Linked DNA regions of Oryzias latipes. The protein of the gene in region 3 interacts with the protein of the main gene of each other region in a biochemical or structural test. Links are inferred from orthologs where the notes say so. Each region holds a gene or a part of one and is shown on either strand. Other genes may lie near its edges. The genes, in order: rfwd3, atm and rpa2.

Region 1 (3,653 bases), on a different chromosome or scaffold from region 3:
CTCCCCCGCCTGAAGAGTTCATTGAATCTCGCAGCATCTCAGACTCTGGTAGCAGCACAGAAGTGGACGAAGATGACGAAGAAGAGCAAAGAGCAGCTCAAACGCCTGTGAGGCTACCTTCCACCTGGGCGTTCAGCCAGAGGGCCGTGGGTGGAGCGGCTGTCGCACCTCCAGCCAGTCAGGGGGCGCCGATTCAGAGGAGGCTAAGGTACTCGCAGCTTCACAGATGAGGGTTTGGGGGCAAATCAAAGAGAGGTAAACGGATCAAATCTGTCCTACCTCCTTTTTTGCATTTTAGTAATCCAACTTTATTTTATTTATATAAACTTTATTGAGCATAAACACATTTACAGAACATGTATAAAGTGCCCTTAGGTAATAAATTAAAGGTAATAAATTAATAGTATTTTTGTGTATTTAATATCAAAGCTGAGATATGTAATTTTATGTTCAAAGTTTATGTTCAATAAATTCCAGTGGGTTCCAGGGCTAAGAAGAAATACAGAATGAGAGAAAAGGTGGAGTATAGATTCAAGGGAGTTTTTGCAAAAACTCCAGTTATTATCAAAATCAGGTAAAGTGGCAATGCACATATTTGTTGGATAAATATTATTTAAGTTATATTTTATTATTAACGCAGAACCTTTAAGGTAATTACCACGCTTCATTCCAATAATATCGGTTAAGATATTATTCCAGTAAATGACACCTTTAAGCATGGTGTTTTTTCCACACATAGTGTTACGTATGTGTTTAGTTTGCATTTTTTATTTAAGATATCAATGCCAATAATTGCCTTGGGAGGCTGTATTTTATTTGTAACTTGATACGTCATATAGGAGGCCATTAGGTGAAGTAGACCTGATGGGAAGGCTTTCATAACACTACACTACTCATTTTTTAATTAAAAAGGTTATGTTTTGGTCTTGAAGGTAGTCCTTTGGTTATGGTAATACCTAAATATGTAACTACATCTTTCAAGACTCGACTCAATTCACAGCTTCATGATCAACATAAGTGACGTGTGTAGCTGGACTACAAACGCTCATGGATGAGCTACAGAACACGCATACAGCCGCAGCACCTGCAGCTTCAGAGTCGCATGTGGCTCTTTTAGCCCTCCATTTTGGTTCTTGGTTAAAGACAATAAATGTCTTTTATTTAATTATTCAGAAATGTGAATTATTTTTATCATGGCGGCCGATGCAATAGCATAACTACGTGTCAGTGTCTAATTTTTCTAAAGGGTGAAGTGAGACTTTGGGCTCCTCCTGTGGTCTGTGAGACATCAGCCCGCATGGCTCTTTAGGTGTTGAAGGTTGCAGATCCTGGCCTAAGCTAAACAGATTATCCTGGAAACTGAACTTTTAGCCGATTTCACTCAGAAAGATCGTCCAGTGTGAATTTTAGGAAAGAGTTGTAGGGCTGAGCTGGATCAAGAGAAGGTGGTGCTCAACTCAAAGCAGCAGTCCTTTACATTGAATTAAAAGGAAACAGTAGTCTTCCAAAGAGCAAATGACTCGTTTGTGAGCTGGAACATGAGTAAAATTGAATTTAAATGGATGAAATCAGACACAAAAAGTAGCGATTGATTTGGGAATTCTTTTTTCCTCAAAATATCCAAAGAAATGAGTTGAACACTTGGCTTTTTTCCCCTCTTGGTCTACATAGAGGTGCAGATGAAGTGTAACTGGTTGAATGTGTCACCACCCGCCTCTGGGATAGACAGCGTTGTGGCGTCTGTGCTGCAGGCAGGGCCTCCGCGTGCATTATCCCAGCCAGACTGCAGGCCCCTCCAGGGGCTTCCCAGACTTCCATCTGCGAGCGCCAGCGGCCAGCATGGCGGAGCCGGAGTCCGGCAGCACCACCGAGGTCAGCGAGTCTGAGGAGGACGAGGAAAGGCGAGGAGAGGAGTCGACATCCAATGCTGCTCAGGATGTGGAACCTGGTGGTTCTGCTTCTACCCCTCAGCAGGCAGAGCCACAGGAGGCCAGTGCGTCCAGTGAGTGGCATCAAAACTGAAGCTGGGATCTTCCCCTCCTGTTGTCAGAAGCATGCTAATGCTGTGAAATACCCTCTCTGTCTCTTTGCACAGTCTCTGCCACAGTCGTTGACAGTGAAAGAACCGAGGGGACCGTTCAGGACTGCCGGGTAATCCTATTCTTGCATGTCTGCCTCACTGTTGCCTTCATGGCAGTGATCTCCATTTTTATTTTTAAAGTCAGAAGCATTAACACACAGTTCATGCAGGCCTCAGAGTTCGTCGTGTGTGTGTCAGATTAAAATTGCTGAAAAACACAGCAGTGGATCATATTCCCCCCCGAACTGTCATTGTGTCTTCTTCTAGACGTCCCAGGTCCAGTCATCCAGTCCTGAGGAGAATGAAGGCGACACGTGCACCATTTGCTTCGAGTCCTGGACGACGGCGGGCGAGCACAGACTGTCTGCTCTGCGCTGCGGACATCTCTTTGGCTACACCTGCATCCACCGCTGGCTGAAAGCTCAGGGATCTGCTGCCAAATGCCCACAGGTCAGAAACCCCGCAGAAACCCAGAGTGTCGTGGAAAGATTGAACCTGTTTCTATGGTAAACATGTGTTCCCTGTGTGATTTCAGTGCAACAAGAAGGCAAAGCGGTCAGACATTGTGCTGCTGTACGCACCAAAACTGAGAGCCCTGGATAACTCGGAGCAGGAGAGCCTAAAAAAGTTAGCTGTCTACATTTTTTTATTCCCAAACACAGTAGGCCTGCTGCTCTGGCATGAAGCAAAGCTGCATCTAAAGAACTGATCTGAAGGAGGAGTTCACAATCAGACCGTCTTTCAAAGCAAAAGGATTTTCTCTAAGAGCCAGAATTTAAACTGGACTCTGAAATGCAAATGGATTAGATCAACCAAAAGCAGTTGGATTTTCAGTTTTCTGTCAACAGAGGTGAAGCAGAAAACTGCCAGAAACTGTAATAGATGAGAAACTCATGATTGCTAAGCTTCTACAAGAACGCATGGCCTGATTATAAAGTAGAGTCTACTGAAGTGACTGAAAGCATAACATCCATCAGAGCTGTATCTGAGACTTGGCTCATGTTGTGTGTTTGTGTCTGTGCAGGTCTCTGGAGCAGGAACAGTCTCTGAGGAGGAAGGCAGAGCTGGAGTCTGCTCAGTACAAGCTCAAGCTGCAGGTGGTCACCACCAAGTATGGCCATGCACAGCAGGAGCTGCAGGTATCAGTCTGCTGCTCTCACCAGCAAGTTTCCTCTGACGTCCTCTTCCATGGTTGTGCTGAAGAGCCGCTTAAGTCAATGTAGAAACGAGCGCAGACACAGTCAGTCATTGCTGCTGCTGTTTGTTTCAAAGTGACCCCCGGGGGTGTATAAATCCCACGCCCCTTAATGAGGCGAAATGCTGCGGTGCAGCAAAGGGGGGTTGCTTGTTGTCAGAACCGGAGGCAGAAGAACGCTGGGGGCTGACGTCGCTGACATAGTGCTGTTGCATTGGCCGCTGGGTGAAAGCTGGATGCTTTTAAACCTCCACGTTTTTCAAGGAGAAGGTCAGGACAAAGCTGCAGGGACCTGATGGTCAGGACGAAAGAAAACCTGGAACCTCTGGATCAGAACAAGTCTGTTTGTGTGAGACACGGGGGGAAAACTGATGCTTA
Region 2 (3,653 bases), on a different chromosome or scaffold from region 3:
ATTTGACATTTCACCTGGCATTAAGCAGAGCTTTGGTGAAAAAGCCGAACAGAGCGTCGGTGAAGGCGTCGGTCTGCGTGCAGCAGCCCCGCACCAACGTGTGGATGACTCTGCTGAGCAACACACGGTTGATGGATCTGGAGGAAGAGTTAAAAAAGCCACAGTACAAATCCAACAGATCTATGAGAAAAAACAAAGAACAAGAAAATGATATGTAGAATTCTGGAGAATAGAGCTGACAAAGCAAAACTTTCCAGAAATGGAGTTAAAAATGCTTCCGCACTCTGCCACTGCTTCTGAGAGATGTCACACCAGTACTTGCGGACGGTGAGGATGTCCTTTAAAAGGATGCTGCTGTAATTTTCTCCGTACGCTGTGCAGCAGTGGGAGCTCTGCAGAACCTCTGTCACGTGTTTCAGCAGCTCACTGCAATTCAGACGAGGCCCGCCTGCAAAAAGAATAAATACGTAAAAACCAAATTCTGACTAGCGTCTACTCAAAAGCTTTCCTTCAAGCCCCACTCCGATCATCTTTTGATGTATTTTTAAAGCGTTCCCAGTGGTCATATAATATGATGATATAATTATGACTACGCCGTTTTCAACCAAAATCAATGTTGTTTTCTAGGCTATACTTTCTGTACTTTTAAGCTTAATTTTCTTTATGCACGTCCTCCATCATTAGAATATGTTTAAACCCCAATTTTCATTAAAGTCATTCTTTAAGGATCAGAGTAGGGAACAAAAGATGTGTGTCTACAATCATTATTGAAACATATTTTTATTATTATGCCAAACAACATCTTGGACTGCAGAGTGTGGCCCTTACGTTTGTTTGCATAACGAATAAAGTACTTAATCAAGCTGCACACTTCAGCCATCTTCTTCTGCCGTATAGCCAGCGTGGTTGCCGTCACATTGGATCTACTTGATTGAATACTTTCCATCTCCTTCTGGACATAATGCTGCAGGAACCTGGTCCAGGAAAAATGCAGTGACACACATTAGAAGAACAGAATCTTAAAAGAATTTTACAGATTATGTAAGGGTTAATGGCCGACAAAGTGTGCGTTATTATTCTTTAACGCACGCCTTGGAAGCCTGAACCGTCCGACGCGAAGTGCGTTAAAAAGTGATAATGCACACTTTGAAGGCCATTAACCCGCTTATACCATGGTCACTTACAAAAGCAATACATATTAACCAGTTTTTAGTCCTTAAATGTTGTTTTTTTTCCCGATTTGGATCGCCTTTCTCACAAAAAGCGGACTATTTGTTTCGTGATGCGGCGAATCGCTTTTTTCGCACCGCCGCTGCAGTCAAGATTTGGCGATATATATATGCTGATCTTTCCGATGGGTTGAATAAAGCATCAGTTCAGAGAGAAAGTTCTCTTACCGCTTGTTTTTGTCCAAATGATGAAGTAAAAGGTTGTTTTAAAGAAGCCGGCGCAGTGATACAAAACATTTAAGCTAGGTGACTGGAACTTCTTTCTTCACCATGCGGTTGTCAGGTTTTAATGCACACCCAGCAGCCAATCAGAATCGAGTATTCCCCCGGACCATGGTATAACCCGTGTTTAAACATGGAGTTCACCTAAAATGCGGGTTGAACCTGTGCACAAAAAAAGTCACCAAAACCTTTTCTTCCATAGTGGAGACTACCTGAAGACATTGTCCCATGTGAGCTGCTTGGAGACTTTGGCTTTGGCCAATGAGGCACAATCCAGTTCTTGCAAAACTGCAGGAGATCGAAGGAGCCGTCTGAAGTTTTCAGCTTCTTTCTGATGGCACAAAACAATGGCACTTAAGTAAGGGATAATGCCCCACAAGGTGTTCTTTATCAGAAAATAAGGGACGACGCCGAAGTCCATAGCACTTATACTACGGTCACTTACCATAAATATATTAATTTGAGCAATTATTAGTACTTTGATCCTGTTCTTTTAAAGGTTTCAATCGTTTTTCACAAGAAGCGGACTATTAGAAATAGGGTGTGGCAAGTTGTCACGGTAACGGCTACAGAGCCCGCACCTCGCTCTGCTGCAGCTGTTGTAGGAGAACTAACAGGGCTCGACATAGCCATTTGTCCGCTGGCCCGGTCTTGTTTTTCGAGCAGTTCGGACCACAAGACTTTACTTTTCATTTGTCCGCTCGGGCCACTAAAATATCTAACGGTTTATATATTCTTCACCTTTTTCAATAAAGTAAATTTTGCGAAAACGTGTAGATTTACCTCGTCTTCATAATTTAGTTTTTTTATGTTAGTCCTGTGTTCAGACTTCAAGGGTTTCTATGGGAAACCTTTGATCACTTCTCCTTCTCTCCCGCCTGCTCGCGCGCGGCATTCACTGCCGAGAACCACGCGGCACGCGCTCACTACTTTTTTTTTTCAAACTTTATTGAATGTAACAATTCAATACAAAACAATGTTAAACAGCAACAACGAAGGCACAAGCCAGTGGGTTATCATTACATTTGATTATAAATCCGACACCGTCACTGAAGAGAGACTGAAGCATGTCAGAGATGTGGAAGACATGGCAGGAATAGATAGGAATATGTTGGATGGAGTAGTGGGTATAATTAGTAGTATGGACAGCAAGATATTTAATGAATGCATTGAAGATGAAACTGTATCCACTAAGCTTTAAGCTGAATGTCAAAGAATCAAAGGCAACTCCAAATACCTGAATCTCAGACTCAAATGCAGTAGAATGTTAAACTACTTAATTTTGTTTTTCTTTACAACACTGTAAGCAGTAAGTATTTCTAGTTAGCTGAATGATCTCAGTTAGACCTGCACAATATGAGGAAAACTCGCGATATGCGATATCAGAGATTAAAATTGCGATAACGATATAATTTGCGGTATATAAACAAACAGCAAAATAACCAAATAACCATTCCCAGTTTAAAAATTATACTCCAATGACCCACGTTGACATAGGTTACAAACATCTAACATAACAGGGCTCCATCTGATTGGTCAACAATGTGAAGGCGTCCATCCGATTGGTCAAATGCATTAAGGGATTTATTTGATTCGTTAAATGGTTCAAGCTGCCATTAGATTGTTTTAACACATTTAAGGTTTATGATTTATTGCGATATTTGCCGTTAGAAGCACCATGAAAACTTCTGAACTAGTGTTACCTACTACACTGCAGTGCTCTCTTCAAAACATCTGAAACAGACTAGAGCAGATTTAAGTTTGATATGGTCTATTTTCAGTCATTGAAAAGTGTAGAAATAAGTGATGTCACCAGAATGCACCAAATTGCACCATATTAAAAGTTTCCGTGGGGGCATGCCCCCAGACCCCCCTAAAGTTGCAAGCACCTGCGGAGCGGCGGGTCCCGCTATGCGCGGTGTCGGGCCAGTAACTTTCAGGCAGGGCCAGTAAGTTTCAAAAACTACTGGCCCTGTGGGCCAGTGCAAATTTCTGGGCTATGTCAACCCCTGACTAACCAGCGGAAGACAGTGGTATGTCCGCTGAAGGTCATGTTAAGTGATGCAAAGCACCATTTCAGGGGGAAAGTTCACCTCTTACCGCCTGCTTCTGTTCAGACAATGAAGCAAAGGAATTGTTTCAAAAAAAAAAGAGAAGAAAACAGTCTGCAAATAGTTTCCTAGATCGCTTTTATAGTAAAGA
Region 3 (3,753 bases):
ATTTTTTAAGTTAATTCATGCAATAACTGATAAAAGACAAAAGTTTCCAATTTGTGTGGCCCTAAAGCGTGGCCCTTTGTTTACAGTGTTAGGGCCGCATGAAGAAAATAAGATAAAAATAAAAGTTGGCAGGCCCTGTAATACACTTACTTGAAAAGAGCGTAGGTTTCCAGAGACTTTGACATATGTTCCTGGAGGCAAAACAGTGCTGTCCACACTCGGATCCTACAAAATAAAACCCAATCAGAGAAATTATTTTCTAGAAACCGGAAGTTAACTGAAATAAATGTTAAAATATATATTTTAATGAAACCAGCAATGACAGCATCAACAATGATAATAAAGATGTAGATTTGATCAAATGTTGTTTATAAACAACAATGGTCTGCAGACTGTGTCTCTTATGAATCATATTTAGCAAGGGGTTGTCACCAACTGACCTCTGTATCCACCCACTGCTTCACATCCATAGGAGCACCTGTCATGTCATCAACCCTGTACTGGATGTAGGTCATGGATTTGTCCGTGCTTCTGATGATGCCAACAATGGTGACCTATGACAGAGATGTGTAAAAAGGCAATAAAAACAATATGAAAGTACATTTTTGTTGTTTTTTGTTTGTTTGTTGCCAAGTGTTATGCATTAGTAAACACTAAATTTAAGACAGAAACCTGTCTTGATTTTTCAAAATAAAGGATCTGGAGTTGGTCTCTCTTGTTCCGAACAGATATTTTACTGCTGCTTCCAAGACTTAAGTTTGGATCAATTATTTAAACACCAGTCGAAAGGAGAAGTTCTACATGTGTGTAGCAGAATACGTTGAAGTTTTACAATCGTGGTTATAAAATATTGTTAAATATTAATTTAAAAAAATTAATTAATAAAAAAAAAAAACATTCTTTAACCCTATGATGCCTGACTTTACTTCTAGCTATGAAATAAATCATTCATGTTTTTGCTTTCATGTAGATGCTAAGTTAAGGTAATTTAAGATGGAAGTACTTTGATGCATATTTGCTCAATAAATGTCAAACAGCTTGCCAAACAAAAGATTACTTGTTCCAGATTTTCTATTTTATTTTATCATTATTATTGTGTTTTTTGTAAAGATCTGCCACATAGCAAAGAAAGGTAAAAGTCCATAACTTACTGATGCTTTTGTTTCCAACAAAAAGCTTACAAATATATTAGGAAAAAAGCTAAATCTATTATTTCCCAATTGATAAGGCATTATTTTTGGACTCATTGATTTTTTTTTTAGCTCCAATTAACTAATTATTACCGTAATTATTGAGACTTTGTTTTACTGTGACTTGGTCCCCTTCCCTTCCATCGTTATTAAATATATACATAGGTCTGTGTTTTTTTTATCTTTTTAAAGAGAGAGAGTAAAATCAAAATTATATGATATCTAATACTTTACAGTAGACATACTCTTTTGCATTTTAGGTTACCTGGTTAACCTCCACTTCTCCCACTTTAAAGGCTTCATCAGCCTGAGATGCAGACATCAACTGAGACACTGTGCAGGGTATAATTTGAGTGGAACGGGTCCTCTGGTGATGAACAAACAGACAGAAGGATTTCAGTTTTTACTAGCGTTACCGTTATGTGCTTAAAACAACACTCAAGCATACAAGACAAGTGCAATAATAATATAAAAACGGTTTATGTTAGGTCAAAGGGACAATGTGGAATTAAAGATGTTCAAGCTTTAATATGGATCACTTTTAACTACCGGTGTAAGTTTTGAAAGGCACCATCACTCTGTCGGCATTGTCATTTCTCACCCCTTTCTTCTCTCCTTGGGACAAGCCAGGCGATGCAAAGCCTCCAGGAGACTGCGTGTAACCCCCAACCATTCCCGACTCACTGTAGCCTCCTAAAGTTTCAACACAGAAATTGAAAGCAAGTGAAGCAAACTCCCTTTTCGGCATATTTACAATGTTAATGGAAGACACATTTGACAACAAACTATTACACTTGTAAGAAATAAACAAAGAAGCCACTTGACTTGAGTGTTAAGTAAAGCTAACGTTAGCTGTACCAAACAACACAAACATGCCAGTGTGAACGATGTAAAGGCAAACAAACAACTTGGATACGACATTTACCTTGATTCCACATGCTGACACTTCGTAAGTAATTCTTAAAATGCAAAGATAATTTAGTGACGGGGTGAAATCGAGCAACCAACTTGCTTAACGACCTGATTCCCGCGCGCCAAACTCAATGTAAGACGCATGCGCGTGGGATAATTCCCGCGAAACGTTTCATCGCGAGAGGTATATAGATAATGTACTGGCCCTGATTTTTGACTGTCAGGCATTTGCCACGGTTTTGGAGTAAACATTCCAATTAATGGGGAATTTCCACCGTTTTTTTCTTAAACTCTAACATTGTTTTTATTTCATAATGATTGTATTATTTTAAAAGATCTAATAATCCTTGTTTACTAAGAAAATCTACACCTGATAGAAATATTTCGGGAAATAACAAGCAAATTATGACGCTATCGCAAAGAGGTGGAACATGATGATCTTTGTTCCTTTCAATTTAAAAAAAAAGGTTTTCTAGTTGTAATGAGCACTGGTGCATGCGTAAATACTATAACTTATCAAAATCTCAAAAATTACAAATATAAAAAAATAAAACGTGAAAGGTATTTTGTGTGTGATCGTATGGTCTAAAATTTGAATTGCTTTTTAAGGTAGCCTTTTGCTTTTGTGTGTCTTTAGTTTAAATAACAACAGTAAAGGTGATAGGATTGTGTAATATTTTTCTCAGCCTCCAAATCCGCAGCTCAATAAACATAGGCTAATCAGTAACACCCTGTATTAGTATGAACTTCTAAACTTTTATTTAATTTGAAGAAAAACAATTTTCTGTTGAAAGCTTTAGTTCTGACTTGCCATGGAGAATCAAATGATAAAAGTGTCATTTTGTAGTTTCTGATGGACAAAGAGAGCTATTTTGTAATGATTTAATCTGTCAAAAGTGCTTCTTATCTTAAGCGTTCTCGTAAAAACTAATAATATTGTGTCATAAAACAAGGTTTAGTTATTATGATCCACACAAGCATGTCAGTGCCTTGGTAAGAAGGTTGTGTTGGCCCGCTCTGCCCTTCCTTTATAGACCCTTGCCTGTCTTTTCCAGCACAGCTGTTCTCAGACACTCAAACATGACAGCAACAAGCTTTTTCTTATCTTGTCTGCTTTTCAAAGGAGCTCTTGCTCTCACTGGTAAGTAGAGCCTTGTGTAACCAGCGTGTTATAGATGATTTTGTGACATTTACTTACTTCGCCTATGTGCTGATCTTTTCCAGGAAGCTTTTGGCATATCACAGATTTGCACTGGGACCCAACTTATGAAGTGACAGATCAACCGGAGCTGGTGTGCGCCTCTAGCGGCAAACGGCCTGCTTTGAGCGCCGGTAGATTTGGAGACTATGTTTGTGACTCACCATGGCACCTGATCAATTCCTCTGTGTATGCCATGAAGAGCATTCTTCCAGACCCAGACTTCATCATCTGGACAGGGTACCTACTTTTCTTCTTTACATGGTAACCTCTGTGGGTTTTTTCTGTGCAATTAGACTAATTTCCCACCAAGATGTCTACTAGATAACTAATATACACTTATTCTAGGTGTCTACTAAACATCTCAGACAACTATTTTGTTCCTTTATTAGATGTCTAGCAATAGTGTCCTGATCTGCATATAGAGGTCTCCTACACATCTTCTTGAAGCCA

The links.
Region 1: the proteins of rpa2 (region 3) and rfwd3 form a complex in vitro, tested with the Homo sapiens proteins (3 studies listed by BioGRID, with this or other methods). The link is inferred for Oryzias latipes from reciprocal best matches to the Homo sapiens genes RPA2 and RFWD3.
Region 2: of the proteins of rpa2 (region 3) and atm, one has a biochemical effect on the other in vitro, tested with the Homo sapiens proteins (3 studies listed by BioGRID). The link is inferred for Oryzias latipes from reciprocal best matches to the Homo sapiens genes RPA2 and ATM.

What each region holds. Positions count from the first base shown.
Region 1 is NC_019864.2:6,601,126-6,604,778, forward strand, and holds part of rfwd3 (E3 ubiquitin-protein ligase RFWD3), read left to right. Parts: coding exon 1-208; intron 209-1,751; coding exon 1,752-2,002; intron 2,003-2,095; coding exon 2,096-2,151; intron 2,152-2,347; coding exon 2,348-2,530; intron 2,531-2,615; coding exon 2,616-2,707; intron 2,708-3,104; coding exon 3,105-3,219; intron 3,220-3,653. UniProt on the Homo sapiens protein: E3 ubiquitin-protein ligase required for the repair of DNA interstrand cross-links (ICL) in response to DNA damage. Plays a key role in RPA-mediated DNA damage signaling and repair.
Region 2 is NC_019871.2:24,876,862-24,880,514, reverse strand, and holds part of atm (serine-protein kinase ATM), read right to left. Parts: intron 1,783-3,653; coding exon 1,664-1,782; intron 975-1,663; coding exon 829-974; intron 449-828; coding exon 284-448; intron 181-283; coding exon 15-180; intron 1-14.
Region 3 is NC_019874.2:22,815,644-22,819,396, forward strand, and holds the start of rpa2 (replication protein A 32 kDa subunit), read right to left. Parts: upstream 2,252-3,753; 5' UTR 2,129-2,251; coding exon 2,116-2,128; intron 1,884-2,115; coding exon 1,792-1,883; intron 1,558-1,791; coding exon 1,456-1,557; intron 555-1,455; coding exon 441-554; intron 226-440; coding exon 151-225; intron 1-150. Other genes in the region: smpdl3b (acid sphingomyelinase-like phosphodiesterase 3b), read left to right, coding at 3,183-3,243, 3,327-3,540. UniProt on the Homo sapiens protein: As part of the heterotrimeric replication protein A complex (RPA/RP-A), binds and stabilizes single-stranded DNA intermediates that form during DNA replication or upon DNA stress.